4 linked regions of the Saccharomyces cerevisiae S288C genome follow. Changing the gene in region 4 together with the main gene of any one other region gives a genetic interaction. Each region holds a gene or a part of one and is shown on either strand. Other genes may lie near its edges. The genes, in order: TCA17, ICS2, ADE2 and YDL241W.

Region 1 (2,566 bases), on a different chromosome or scaffold from region 4:
AAAAGGCTTCCTCGATCGGTGGGAACTCTATCAAGGCCTCCAGTGGTATTAACGGTGCTTGCACCGAGACTCAACGTCACTTCCACATCGAGGACTCCCCACGCTTATTTGAAGATGACACCATCAAGTCTGCTAAAGGTAAAGGTGTCCAAGAATTAATGGCTAAGTTGGCCAATGATTCTCCCCTGGCTATTGAATGGTTGAAAAACGAATTTGATTTGAAATTGGACCTATTGGCTCAATTGGGTGGCCACTCTGTGGCAAGAACTCACAGATCGTCTGGGAAGTTGCCTCCAGGTTTCGAAATTGTTTCTGCCTTATCTAACAATTTGAAGAAATTAGCTGAGACTAAACCAGAGTTAGTTAAGATTAACTTAGACAGTAAAGTCGTAGACATCCATGAAAAGGATGGCTCCATTTCTGCTGTAGTGTACGAGGACAAGAATGGCGAAAAGCACATGGTGAGTGCTAACGATGTCGTTTTTTGTTCTGGAGGGTTTGGCTTTTCTAAGGAAATGCTTAAAGAATACGCACCCGAACTGGTGAACTTGCCAACAACAAACGGGCAACAAACAACTGGTGATGGTCAAAGGCTTCTGCAGAAGTTAGGCGCTGATCTGATTGACATGGACCAAATTCAAGTTCATCCAACTGGGTTCATTGATCCAAATGACCGTAGCTCAAGCTGGAAATTCTTGGCTGCCGAATCCTTAAGAGGTCTTGGTGGTATCCTATTAAACCCTATTACCGGTAGAAGATTTGTCAACGAATTGACCACAAGAGATGTAGTCACTGCAGCTATTCAAAAGGTTTGTCCTCAAGAGGATAACAGAGCACTATTGGTTATGGGCGAAAAAATGTACACAGATTTGAAGAATAATTTAGATTTTTACATGTTCAAGAAACTTGTACAGAAATTGACATTATCTCAAGTTGTTTCTGAATATAATTTACCAATCACTGTCGCCCAATTATGCGAGGAATTGCAAACATACTCTTCCTTCACTACCAAGGCTGATCCGTTGGGACGTACCGTTATTCTCAACGAATTTGGCTCTGACGTTACTCCAGAAACTGTGGTTTTTATTGGTGAAGTAACACCGGTTGTCCATTTCACCATGGGTGGTGCTAGAATCAATGTCAAGGCTCAAGTCATTGGCAAGAACGACGAAAGGCTACTAAAAGGCCTGTACGCGGCCGGTGAAGTTTCTGGCGGTGTTCATGGCGCCAATAGGTTGGGTGGTTCAAGTTTGTTAGAATGCGTTGTCTTTGGGAGAACCGCAGCTGAATCTATTGCCAATGACCGCAAGTAACGAATTTTATAAATGAATCATTTCTAAACGATTTTTTAATAGTATATAAGTAGTATTAATATTATTATTATTTTTTTTTTTTTTTTTTTTTCACTTTCGAAGTTCTGCCGGAAGAGCTCATCGACGGCCAAGAAACATTTTACATAAAAGTTATTGAGTTGAAAATTGAGTAAATATTCTCTCCAAAAATCAAATTGTACGTTTATATCACCAAACTATGAGCTTGAGGCCTTGCTTCGTATCATTGATAGATGAATCTGATAAACCTATATTGATTTACGTCCCTAATGAGGCGGAGAATGAGATGAATGATGTACTCAAATATAACGTGCTTTCTAACATATCGTTAGATTATTTTGAAAGTGCTTTGGTTGAATGGCATTCTTTAGATTCCAAACCTCTTCTGAAGTCAATTTTTCAATTGGAAGGTGTCTCTGTATTTGCTATGTTGATTAAGCAGACGGGCCTGAAGATTGTCATTGGATTTGAACAAAAAAGCCTAAGTGGAGCTGATGATGAATTTGAAGCAATCAATCAGATTTTCGAAACCGTAAGAAAAATCTATATACGTGTCAAATGTAATCCTTTACTTGTTAGCGGTGACGAAAAGTCCATTATAAAAAGCTTGGAAAGAAAATTTGATGAGTTGTTTATTTCAACTGAAGTTGAATTATAAATGATAATTTATTAGTCGATTCTTTCACGAATGAAAGCAAAATTTAATGTCACTGCTTTGGAGTGAGAGCGATTCAGAGAAGTTATTAATGTCTAATATGTCCAACTTGGTGACAGTTTCGCCTTGCCTAATTAGCGGGGATCAGGTGCCGGTAGTATATCTCAGATGACCGTGACAATCAAACTTTCTACTTCATTCAAGTGACTGTCAATTGTCATGCTGTTCATGAATAAATAAGATACGGAGACAATTAAGGCGATCGCTTTGACTCTACTGCTAACGAAAATTGTCCGAATTGAACAGATGTGGAAGCAATCACTATACGTTACTTCATAATGAAGATATTTGTTGGCTTTCCGAGATATAGACTGATCTTTGTCACTTCATATCCGGCACGGCAATTTTTACATGGGATGGCTCGTCATAAAGATACTGCGACCTTTGGAAAGTCTGAAATAAGTGCTAGGTTATGGTTACAACGAGAATTGACAGATATGATGTGATTGTTCACGTATGTACGTATAAAGATATTTATACTACCAAAAAAAAAAAAAGGGTTTTTTTTTATTTCATTATC
Region 2 (3,254 bases), on a different chromosome or scaffold from region 4:
CCATCTTTTTGTCTTCATACTTGAGTGTATTCATATAAACATTATTTCTTAACCATTCACTACTTTCGTACAATCGTTGATTTATTTCTGAATGTGCATCTGTTGTTAGATTATTTAGATCATCGAGGGTTTCTATGATTGAACGGGTAGAGCCTGGCTTCCTTTGAGTTTTCTTCCTAGCTGCTTTGATTGCCCAGTCCATTGTTTAAATCTTCGGGCTCTTTCAAAGTCCGTCAGTTGAGGAGATACTTTGAAACGTTTTGTTTGTATCATTGGCAATACTTGAAACGAGTTTTTGTTTGTTTTCTTTTTTTAGTTAATTCGCGAAATTTAAAATATGAAGATCGGTTTCAGAACAGAATGGATCAGGCTTTTCCGCGTATAAGAAATAATAACACTGACATAACGCTATAACGAAACAGCGTAACAAAATACTCTTTACATGGTTTATTTTTATATATTCATTTAACATTATCAAAACTAACATTAAGTCCTTTATTTATCAAAACAAACGAAAAAAAAAAATGCGAGACAAATGATCCAGTCATTTATTGTCAATATCTAAGTCAATTAGTGGTTGCAATATGTCTCCAGTTTCCACTTTATGAGCAAAAATTTTGCCCTCAATATTTATCTGATTTTTTTCAGCGAATTCTTTCAAACTCCCGAATCTACCGCTTGCGTTTCTTCTTAATTGTTCATTGGTATTCATGATTGTGTTTTTCGGGGACATTTGGTGGGTATATGAAGTATCCGGTGAAGAATGATATTCTTTGTCCAAGAAAGAACTTGCCAATGAAGTTTTTCTTGAATTGACGCCTATGCTTGAATTAGAATCGTACCCGTCAATGAAATTTGGCTTACAAGACCTGCTGAATGAGATTGCATGACTTTTTCTGTGGTAACTTTTCCTTCGCCCTGAAGGCTTTGTAAGTTCGTGTGATAATGAACGTGAATGCGAATGTGATGATAATTCATTACTTTCTACCCTTAAAGGTGATACCGCATTAGGCTTTCTTGGACATATGGAGGAATTTCTCCTCGTTTTCACACCATCCTTGTCTCCAGGGAAAGAGTAGGTCTTCAGCTTGTTGAACAGAGCTTCGCCTTGAGACTCTTCAAAATAAAAGCTCTTTTCGTACTCATGGGGTTGTTTGCTGCTATCGAACTGAGATTCTGTTGAAGAGAGAGAGCTGAAACGTCCATAGAGTGGGCTGCCAAGTGATTTAATGGATGTACTAGATTGACTGCCCGTAGTAGGAAAACTAAATGTGCTTATTCTTTCTCTTTCTTTTTGCTCAAATTTGCCCATATCTTGCTGGAAAGGGAAACTTCAGTGAAGTAATAACGAAGGTGGTGTAGAGTATAAATTTTTATTAAGTATGCGCTTTGACGTTCACATATTTGTAAAAGATTTATTTGAGAAGATAGAATGGGTCTCATTTATTTATACTTAAATGCTTCTTTGGATGTCAAGCTTTCTTGATGCCGGACTTGCAGTCGAAGGGCTCTTTCCCAACAGATATGTAACCAAATGCGTCGAATAGAAAAAGAAAGTCTTCCAAGGAAAGTTTATTACGAGGGGTTTTGTGCATTAACGTGGCATATAATTAGGTATAAACTCAAGGTTGGCTTAAGATTAGCGAAACAAAAGTATAAACGACCCAAAATTGGAGTGGATGTGTTCTTTAACACATAAACTGTCGTACAAAAAAAAAAGAAACAAAGAGCAGTTGAAAGAACATCAAGATCATAAGGACCCCCATATCGTGATAATCATTGATGACCAAATCGTGAACTCCCTGCGCCTATGCCGTGCCATAGCAAATAAAGTACTGGGCTGGATTGTTAATGACTTGCATATTAACGACAGGTAAACGGTACCCTATTTTTCTTTTTTACGTGCTACGGACGAAAAGTGAGGGTGATTAACGCTTCAAATAAGAAACGACGGCTAGCAGGGTCTAGATGCGTGAGATGAGATAAGGAAAAGAGCTCTGTGTCCCAGGTAATAATCCCTGGAGAGATATAATCTTCCCTACAACTTGATTGCATATTAACGCTCCCAAGTTGTGGCCATTGAAGAGCTCTACAGCAATGTCCCGACGAACGGAAATAACCCTCTTTTTCATGATATTTTCGGAGTTATCTCCACTGTCAACAACTATTCTCGAATATAACAGAATGAAAGGGATCACGTACGCTTGTTATATTGCTGTCGTTCTCCGTTCGCAATCCCATTATATGCGAGGGGCAAAAGAAGAGACGGCCGGTAACTCATTTTTTGGTGTGTGAGAATTGCGGAAGCTTCGTTCTCCCACCTTTTTTCGCTGTGTTTTTCTTGTCCTCAGCACCGGCTGGTCAAGCCGGTGCTGAACGGCCGGAGAGAAATATAAACGGATGAAAACGTGTTAATAATTGCATCAGTAGTAGGTGGCGGGGTTGTCTCATTTTTGTTATGGCGTAAGGTGAAAAATTGTAAAGGATTGGTTCGGTTGGGTTGGCGACAATTAATTATGGGATAAAAAATTGCTTAATCTTTATTGGAGCAATTACCTGCATAGGCACTCATAGGCCACAAGGGTTTGATGGCGGAAGGATGTTATACCTACGATACTACCATACATGTGATATGTCACTTTCTAGTCCGAAGCGTGGAACATATTATCTTGTTTGACGTTGTGGGTGTTAACCGTAATTGTCTGGGTACGCCGAAGGCACGGAGACCATGTTAAAATATGTTTCTCTTTTTTGCTCATTTTTTTCTATTTTTTGCTGCGCATTGCCCGAAGCTTTTCTTAGTGGTAGTCTGCTCTCGCGCTCTTTGTTACACTCGCAAAATTTTTTTGCTGGGCAAAATAAAGCACTCTCCGGCCATTACTGGCTGTCGTCCGCCAGGATTTTCATTAACTTGCAGAAGTAAACAAACAAAACACAATTATGACACCGTGGAAGTTTCCTAAATGGTAACAAAAAGCTTAATTGAAAGAAAGAATTTCCTTCAACTTCGGTTTCCTGGTTCCGCTATTTCTCGCTTGTTTCTTCTATTGGACTTAGGATGTCTCATCAATCATCTTATTCCTGCTGGTGTTTTTTGTATCGCCTTGCCTTGGAGTGTTTATGCTTGTCCTTTGTTCAGTAACCATTCTTCAAGTTTGTTTCAAGTAGTAGGATACCTTCAGATATACGAAAGAAAGGGAGTATAGTTGTGGATATATATATATATAGCAACCCTTCTTTATAAGGGTCCTATA
Region 3 (3,973 bases), on a different chromosome or scaffold from region 4:
ATTGGAAGACCTTCCAAGGGAACATTATAGGGTGTTAAGAGTACTGAGTGAACATATAGAAAAGGTTACACGGTACAGTCACTGGAATCGAATGACGCTTTATAATTTGGCTTTAGTTTTTGCTCCAGGTTTGATTCGTGATTTCAGTGGAGAAAAGGATATTATTGATATGAAAGAAAGAAACTATATTGTCGCATTTATATTTGGGAACTACAAAGATATCCTGACGTAGCGCTATCCTCGGTTCTGCATTGAGCCGCCTTATATGAACTGTATCGAAACGTTATTTTTTTAATCGCAGACTTAAGCAGGTAATTATTCCTTGCTTCTTGTTACTGGATATGTATGTATGTATAATAAGTGATCTTATGTATGAAATTCTTAAAAAAGGACACCTGTAAGCGTTGATTTCTATGTATGAAGTCCACATTTGATGTAATCATAACAAAGCCTAAAAAATAGGTATATCATTTTATAATTATTTGCTGTACAAGTATATCAATAAACTTATATATTACTTGTTTTCTAGATAAGCTTCGTAACCGACAGTTTCTAACTTTTGTGCTTTGACAAGAACTTCTTCTTCTTGCTTTAATAAAAACTGTTCCATTTTCGTTGTATAACTTGAATCATAAGCGCCAAGCAGTCTGACAGCCAACAGCGCAGCGTTCGTACTATTATTAATAGCGACGGTAGCTACTGGAACACCTCTAGGCATTTGCACAATTGAATGTAAAGAATCTACTCCATCTAGACAAGAACCTTTTACGGGCACACCGATGACAGGAAGTGGTGTCATTGCAGCCACCATACCTGGCAAGTGAGCAGCCCCACCAGCTCCAGCGATAATTGTTTTAATTCCACGCTTGCTTGCGGAAATAGCATATGCTGACATCCTATGTGGAGTTCTATGAGCAGAGACTATTGTCACTTCAAATGGAACGCCAAAATCTTTTAAAACCGCACATGCGGCAGACATTACCGGCAAGTCAGAGTCTGATCCCATGATGATTCCAACCAATGGTTTGACCATTGCTTCCAAGTCCAACTTTTGAGCGACAGAGATTTTGATTGGAATATCAGTTCTACCTGTAATGTAGTTCAGCCTTTGTTCACATTCCGCCATACTGGAGGCAATAATATTTATGTGACCTACTTTTCTGTTAGGTCTAGACTCTTTTCCATATAAGTACACTGAGGAACCTGGAGTCGCCAATGCTCTTTCGCAAGTTTCTAGCTCTTTATCTTTTGTATGTTTGTCTCCAAGAACATTTAGCATAATGGCGTTCGTTGTAATGGTGGAGAAAGATGTGAAATTCTTTGGCATTGGCAAATCCAATATTGATCTCAAATGAGCTTCAAATTGAGAAGTGACGCAAGCATCAATGGTATAATGTCCAGAGTTGTGAGGCCTTGGGGCAATTTCGTTAATAAGCAATTCCCCTGTTTCTAAATAGAACATTTCCACACCAAATATACCACAACCGGGAAAAGATTTGATTGCATTTTCTGCCAACAACTTCGCCTTAAGTTGAACGGAGTCCGGAACTCTAGCAGGCGCATAACATAAGTCACAAATATTGTCCTTGTGGATAGTCTCTACAATTGGGTAAGAAAACACTAAACCGTTAACAGATCTCACAATCATGACTGCTAATTCTTTAGTAAATGGTGCCCATTTTTCGGCGTACAAAGGACGATCCTTCAGTACTTCCAAAGCTTCCGGAATCATTTCCTTATTCTTTACAACGAAGTTACCTCTTCCATCGTATGCCAAAGTCCTCGACTTCAAGACGAATGGAAAACCCAAATCTCTTCCAACATTCAATAGGGACGTCTCACTGGCTTGTTCCACAGGAACACTTTGGGTAACTGCTATACCATTTTTGATTAAATGCTCTTTTTGAATATATTTGTCTTGTATCAATCTGATTGTTTCTGGAGAAGGGTAAATTTTTAATTTGGGATGTTTTACTTGAAGATTCTTTAGTGTAGGAACATCAACATGCTCAATCTCAATCGTTAGCACATCACATTTTTCAGCTAGTTTTTCGATATCAAGAGGATTGGAAAAGGAGCCATTAACGTGGTCATTGGAGTTGCTTATTTGTTTGGCAGGAGAATTTTCAGCATCTAGTATTACCGTCTTAATGTTGAGCCTGTTTGCTGCCTCAACAATCATACGTCCCAATTGTCCCCCTCCTAATATACCAACTGTTCTAGAATCCATACTTGATTGTTTTGTCCGATTTTCTTGTTTTTCTTGATTGTTATAGTAGGATGTACTTAGAAGAGAGATCCAACGATTTTACGCACCAATTTATACATGAAATGCTCCATAATATTGTCCATTTAGTTCTTAATAAAAGGTCAGCAAGAGTCAATCACTTAGTATTACCCGGTTCGTAGCCATGCAACAAGAGTCATTTGTCAGCATAGCTGTAATAATCAATCATGACGTAAGAAATGTATCATAATTAAAAGTTGTTAAAGATGTCAGTGTTATGTTGGTGTTACAAAATTCTCGGCTTCTCACTAATATTTAATATCTCTTAAATTTTATCTGTCTTTGATTCTTTTAAGAAAAGTTATGTATTATTCAAGAAAAAGTCAATTCCGCATCAAAAGGTAAAATTTATATAAACTGCTTTAAAATTTCATGAAACTAGGCAACTTTTCGAAATGATCTTTTTCGAGCATGAAGTTTCTTTTATAATAACCTGGTCAAAAGCTTTCAATATATAATACATTTGGTATTTACGGAAATGAGATGATATACTGGTAGTGCGCTAGTCAAGTTCTAATTAAATTAAAATGCAAAATAGTAATGTCAGATGGACACATTGGGCGAAATAGCTAACCCATAAGCATGAATCCTGTAACTTATGTAATACGTTAATCACGATACGGCGTTACTAGTCTTCCTTTTGAGTGGTTTCTAATGTAGATTCTTGTTGTTCGTTAATTTGCTTCAAGCCGTTTAGCATTCCTGATTCGTTTGAAGATAGAGGAACAGATGCGCCAGCGAAAGATGATGATGCAATGGTAGAGGAAGTGTTGGTCGAATCTCCCTTTTTGGAAATAAAGTGTCGTTTTGATTCTAGATAGGCTTCTCGCAATTGATTGTGGAGATACTTCTTTAAAAGGGCCATACCTATGGGATGACATTCTAACCTATAGAGTAATTTCGTAATAGCATAGCAGATTTTTGACGCCCTTCTTTCTAGTAGAGGAGAAGCCCTTAGCTTGGGTGAGATGACTGAGGATGCGTTTGTAAATTCGGGATAATTGGAATTTCCAGTACCCTGCCCATTACCTCCCAGAATCCTTATATTAGGGCGTGTACTCAGTTGTAAAAACTGTCTCAATGAAGAAGATTGAGCAATTCTGGTCAAATACGTTCTTCTCCTGGACAGAGATTTTGTGAAGGGCAAATCCTGCCCACTTTCTTTTGTAATAAATGTGAGGAAAAACGCCAAGATATCAAAACTGTAAATTTGAGTAAAAAGATCTATTGCTGATACTATAACACCGTGGGGATCTTTTTCGATGCCCATATAGCTGTTAAAATTATCGAAACCCTGACGCACTTCGCTTTCAAAACTCCACCTAGAAATATTATCACCGTGTAACTGAGCTGTGGGTAATATTTTGAACGGAGAATAGTTCAAACAAGCGTTTAAAAACTTCTCAATGTTTGTCCTGCTTACCGATACCATGCGAAACAGCTCTTTAACAATGTCCAATATTTGGCTTAATTGGGAATATATTTGCTCTGTGGAAAATAACTGGCATGTGTTTCCTAAGCTAAATAAACAATTATCCAAGTTAGACAATAGTTCAATACTATGCAGTGTAAAATAATCAAAGAACTCCGGGAAAATGAAAAAATCTTTATAAAACATGATATATTCATCTTTTAGTGCTATATTAGGTGGAATTTCTCGTCTTTTCAAAGCGTCCAGAAGGTTTT
Region 4 (2,671 bases):
TAATCTAAATTATTTTAGTGCCCATAATGCAGTATACTGTATCGTATAGGAGTTCTGACTTGCTAATGTAACACAGTAGACTTCACCTTCACTTATGGATACCATTGGCTTATTAAGACATCAGAGTTCATTAAATGAATAGTAACAATCCTTGCGCAAAAAAAGGCGTCGATGACGCACTTTTGCGTTCAAGTTTTATATACTTGGAAAGCTATGACTGATGAGACGGACCTGTTTCGCATAGAAATTCGGTGCTTAACATGTAATTGCACCTTTGTTTTTGAGAAATCCATGAATTTCGCGGTAAAGGCTCGATTAATGATTATTCTATATATATGTACTATAAGCCGATTATCGCAGTTTTTCCAGCCTCCTTAGTAAATTACCCACTGTTTTAAGATGAGTCCTACTGACGGGTTACATTTTTATAGTCTTTCTTCTCAGGCGACCCAAAGTTCTGTCTGACTGTCTCGTATTATATGTAGAAACGATAAAAAATTATATGGTGGCTACTGCGACCACCAATCCAAAGTGTCATACCTTGAGAATTAGACAATTGTATACAACACTAGCATGAACAGTATGGTAAATTTGGCGAGAGAATGAGAAGGCCTTGTATTATGTATTCCCGCATTGGTTTCTGTACCTTTCCCTTGCAGAAAACCACATGCATAAAAGTCGCTTGCCACATAACTCGCATTTGTGAAGCCATGCGAACCACACGTAAACGTTTCAGGACTTTCAGCAGGCTGCCCAGTGAGAAATGTATCATAAAAAATTGAATAAGTTGGGTTCTTTTCTTTAGCAGTTTTCTTTCCTTCAGCTACCCCACAATTATAAATTTCTGTCGGCGTATAGGTTTGATTAATATAGCCCTTGCTACCGCACTTAAACAATAGAGCATTTTCAGTTACGTTCATTTTTTTGTGTCTCTATTATAGATTTTTCTTGGGTGTGATGCAAAAATCGCTGATAGGAATTATAATAAAGGAATATATATATATATATATATATATATATATATATATAGGTACTAATTGGCTTTTCTTATACGCCTCCTATTGATTCACTGCCGAAAGTGCCCTGTTATATACGACAATCATACGCCTGTTTGCAAATAGTCAACATATTCAACTCGGAAGGTAAAAGATGAAAAGGCAATTTTTTTGATTTTCTAAGAAAATGCGCAGCGGGCAGAAGGGTCTTCGCAGGCAACTGAGTAAAGAATATGAGAAAAGCCTCTAAATGTTGAACCCTGAAAAAGTTTCATCTATTTTTGATAAAGACTTTTCAATAGTGCAGGATCACGCAAGAAAAAAAAAGGTCCTTAAGAGCAATTGTGGGAAAATATAATACAATGCTTGCGTTAAAACTTCTAGTTACCTTTTACAACCGAAAGTAAACACTAGCATGGGCTTGGAGACGAGCAGCGCAAATTATATAGTTTGAGATAGAACGCTTTCTCCGGTATTGCCTGGGGAAAAGGAGTCACATGATTAGAATCGGCGAAATTTTTTTTCCAAAATTAACAGCAGGGTTGTCTGGATGTTTTATTGAAAATAGAAGCCAATGACAAACACAAGAGGCCAGTAGTATATTAATTTTAATGTGCATTCTAAAGCATCCTCACGTCTTTCAATCTGAAGTTACTGTTCGAGAAGGAGAAGAAAAGAAGGAAAAATGAAGGATATGAATAATAACATGAGTACTAGTTACGTCCAATCTGGTCACACCATATATTGATGCATCTTATGCGCCATAACTTCTTTTTTTGTAGCTATAATTTGTTGCCAGAAAAATGAAAACTTTTCAAAATCAACCAGTTTCCAATTTTTCTGCAACTCGTTATTTATGAAGATAGATGATGATTGACCCCCTTTCTCCAAAAATCGATGCAGCATTGGGTTATTTTTTGAGCTTTCTAATTATAGGGCCATTTTCTAGCAAGACTGTATAGCACATGCTCGCAAAGAACATGGCGTAATGTTCATAAGAAACAAATTTTGTAAGTTTCTTGTGCCTTTTGAGTTTGAAATCATTGACCAGAACAATGAGAACTCTAAACACGACAAATGGATCTTAAATCAATTTTCTTGAAAACATCTTCCAGTTTCGATATTCGCACATTTGCCGGTAAAATAGTGCAATCTGCCTATACCTTTAAAATGGGATCTTGAACGCGTACCTGAAGGTTTTTTTAAATAAGGCCGAACCTAAATGTTGCCTTCAAAATTAACCTGTATCAAATTTTGAAGCCGAAGTTGGTATCCTCACATTGTCTAACCTCATGGTCTCCTAAAGTCCGGCGATCACTTTCCGTTGCGTGACTATTGATGATCAGACTGTCAACAATGTCGTTCCGGGCCTCCATAGCTTGAAGAATTTTCGTTGACGGAACTAGAGGAATGGCAGATGGAGATGACCTTAGTTTCATGTCGCCTTGATAGTTATCAAAGAGTACAGAAACAAGACGTCTCTTGCTCAATAATAAGGATTGGATCAGGTGCTTACAAATTTTATTCGTCATACAAACAATTACTAATATTTTTTTAATATTAAGCGTACCCCTATTTGATTGGCTCTCTTCTAAATTCATACGTTTTAAAATCCGCTTTCAACCGTCAACATAAAATTAGTAAGCAGACCTCGTTCCAAGACCCAACTAAGTTGC

What was found.
Region 1: mutations in YDL241W (region 4) and TCA17 together harm fitness more than expected from each alone (negative genetic interaction), as found in Saccharomyces cerevisiae (one large-scale study listed by BioGRID).
Region 2: mutations in YDL241W (region 4) and ICS2 together harm fitness more than expected from each alone (negative genetic interaction), as found in Saccharomyces cerevisiae (one large-scale study listed by BioGRID).
Region 3: mutations in YDL241W (region 4) and ADE2 together harm fitness more than expected from each alone (negative genetic interaction), as found in Saccharomyces cerevisiae (one large-scale study listed by BioGRID).

Annotation. Positions count from the first base shown.
Region 1 is NC_001137.3:64,132-66,697, reverse strand, and holds TCA17 (Tca17p), read left to right. Parts: upstream 1-1,530; coding exon 1,531-1,989; downstream 1,990-2,566. Other genes in the region: FRD1 (fumarate reductase), read left to right, coding at 1-1,313. UniProt on the Saccharomyces cerevisiae protein: Required, together with the TRAPP II subunit TRS33, for TRAPP II complex assembly or stability, and for proper Golgi localization of TRAPP and the Rab GTPase YPT31.
Region 2 is NC_001134.8:552,999-556,252, forward strand, and holds ICS2 (Ics2p), read right to left. Parts: upstream 1,313-3,254; coding exon 545-1,312; downstream 1-544. Other genes in the region: SLI15 (Sli15p), read right to left, coding at 1-202.
Region 3 is NC_001147.6:563,962-567,934, forward strand, and holds ADE2 (phosphoribosylaminoimidazole carboxylase ADE2), read right to left. Parts: upstream 2,231-3,973; coding exon 515-2,230; downstream 1-514. Other genes in the region: GTPase-activating protein RGA1, read left to right, coding at 1-232; AFI1 (Afi1p), read right to left, coding at 2,916-3,973.
Region 4 is NC_001136.10:18,884-21,554, reverse strand, and holds YDL241W (uncharacterized protein), read right to left. Parts: upstream 921-2,671; coding exon 549-920; downstream 1-548. Other genes in the region: YDL242W (uncharacterized protein), read right to left, coding at 2,243-2,596.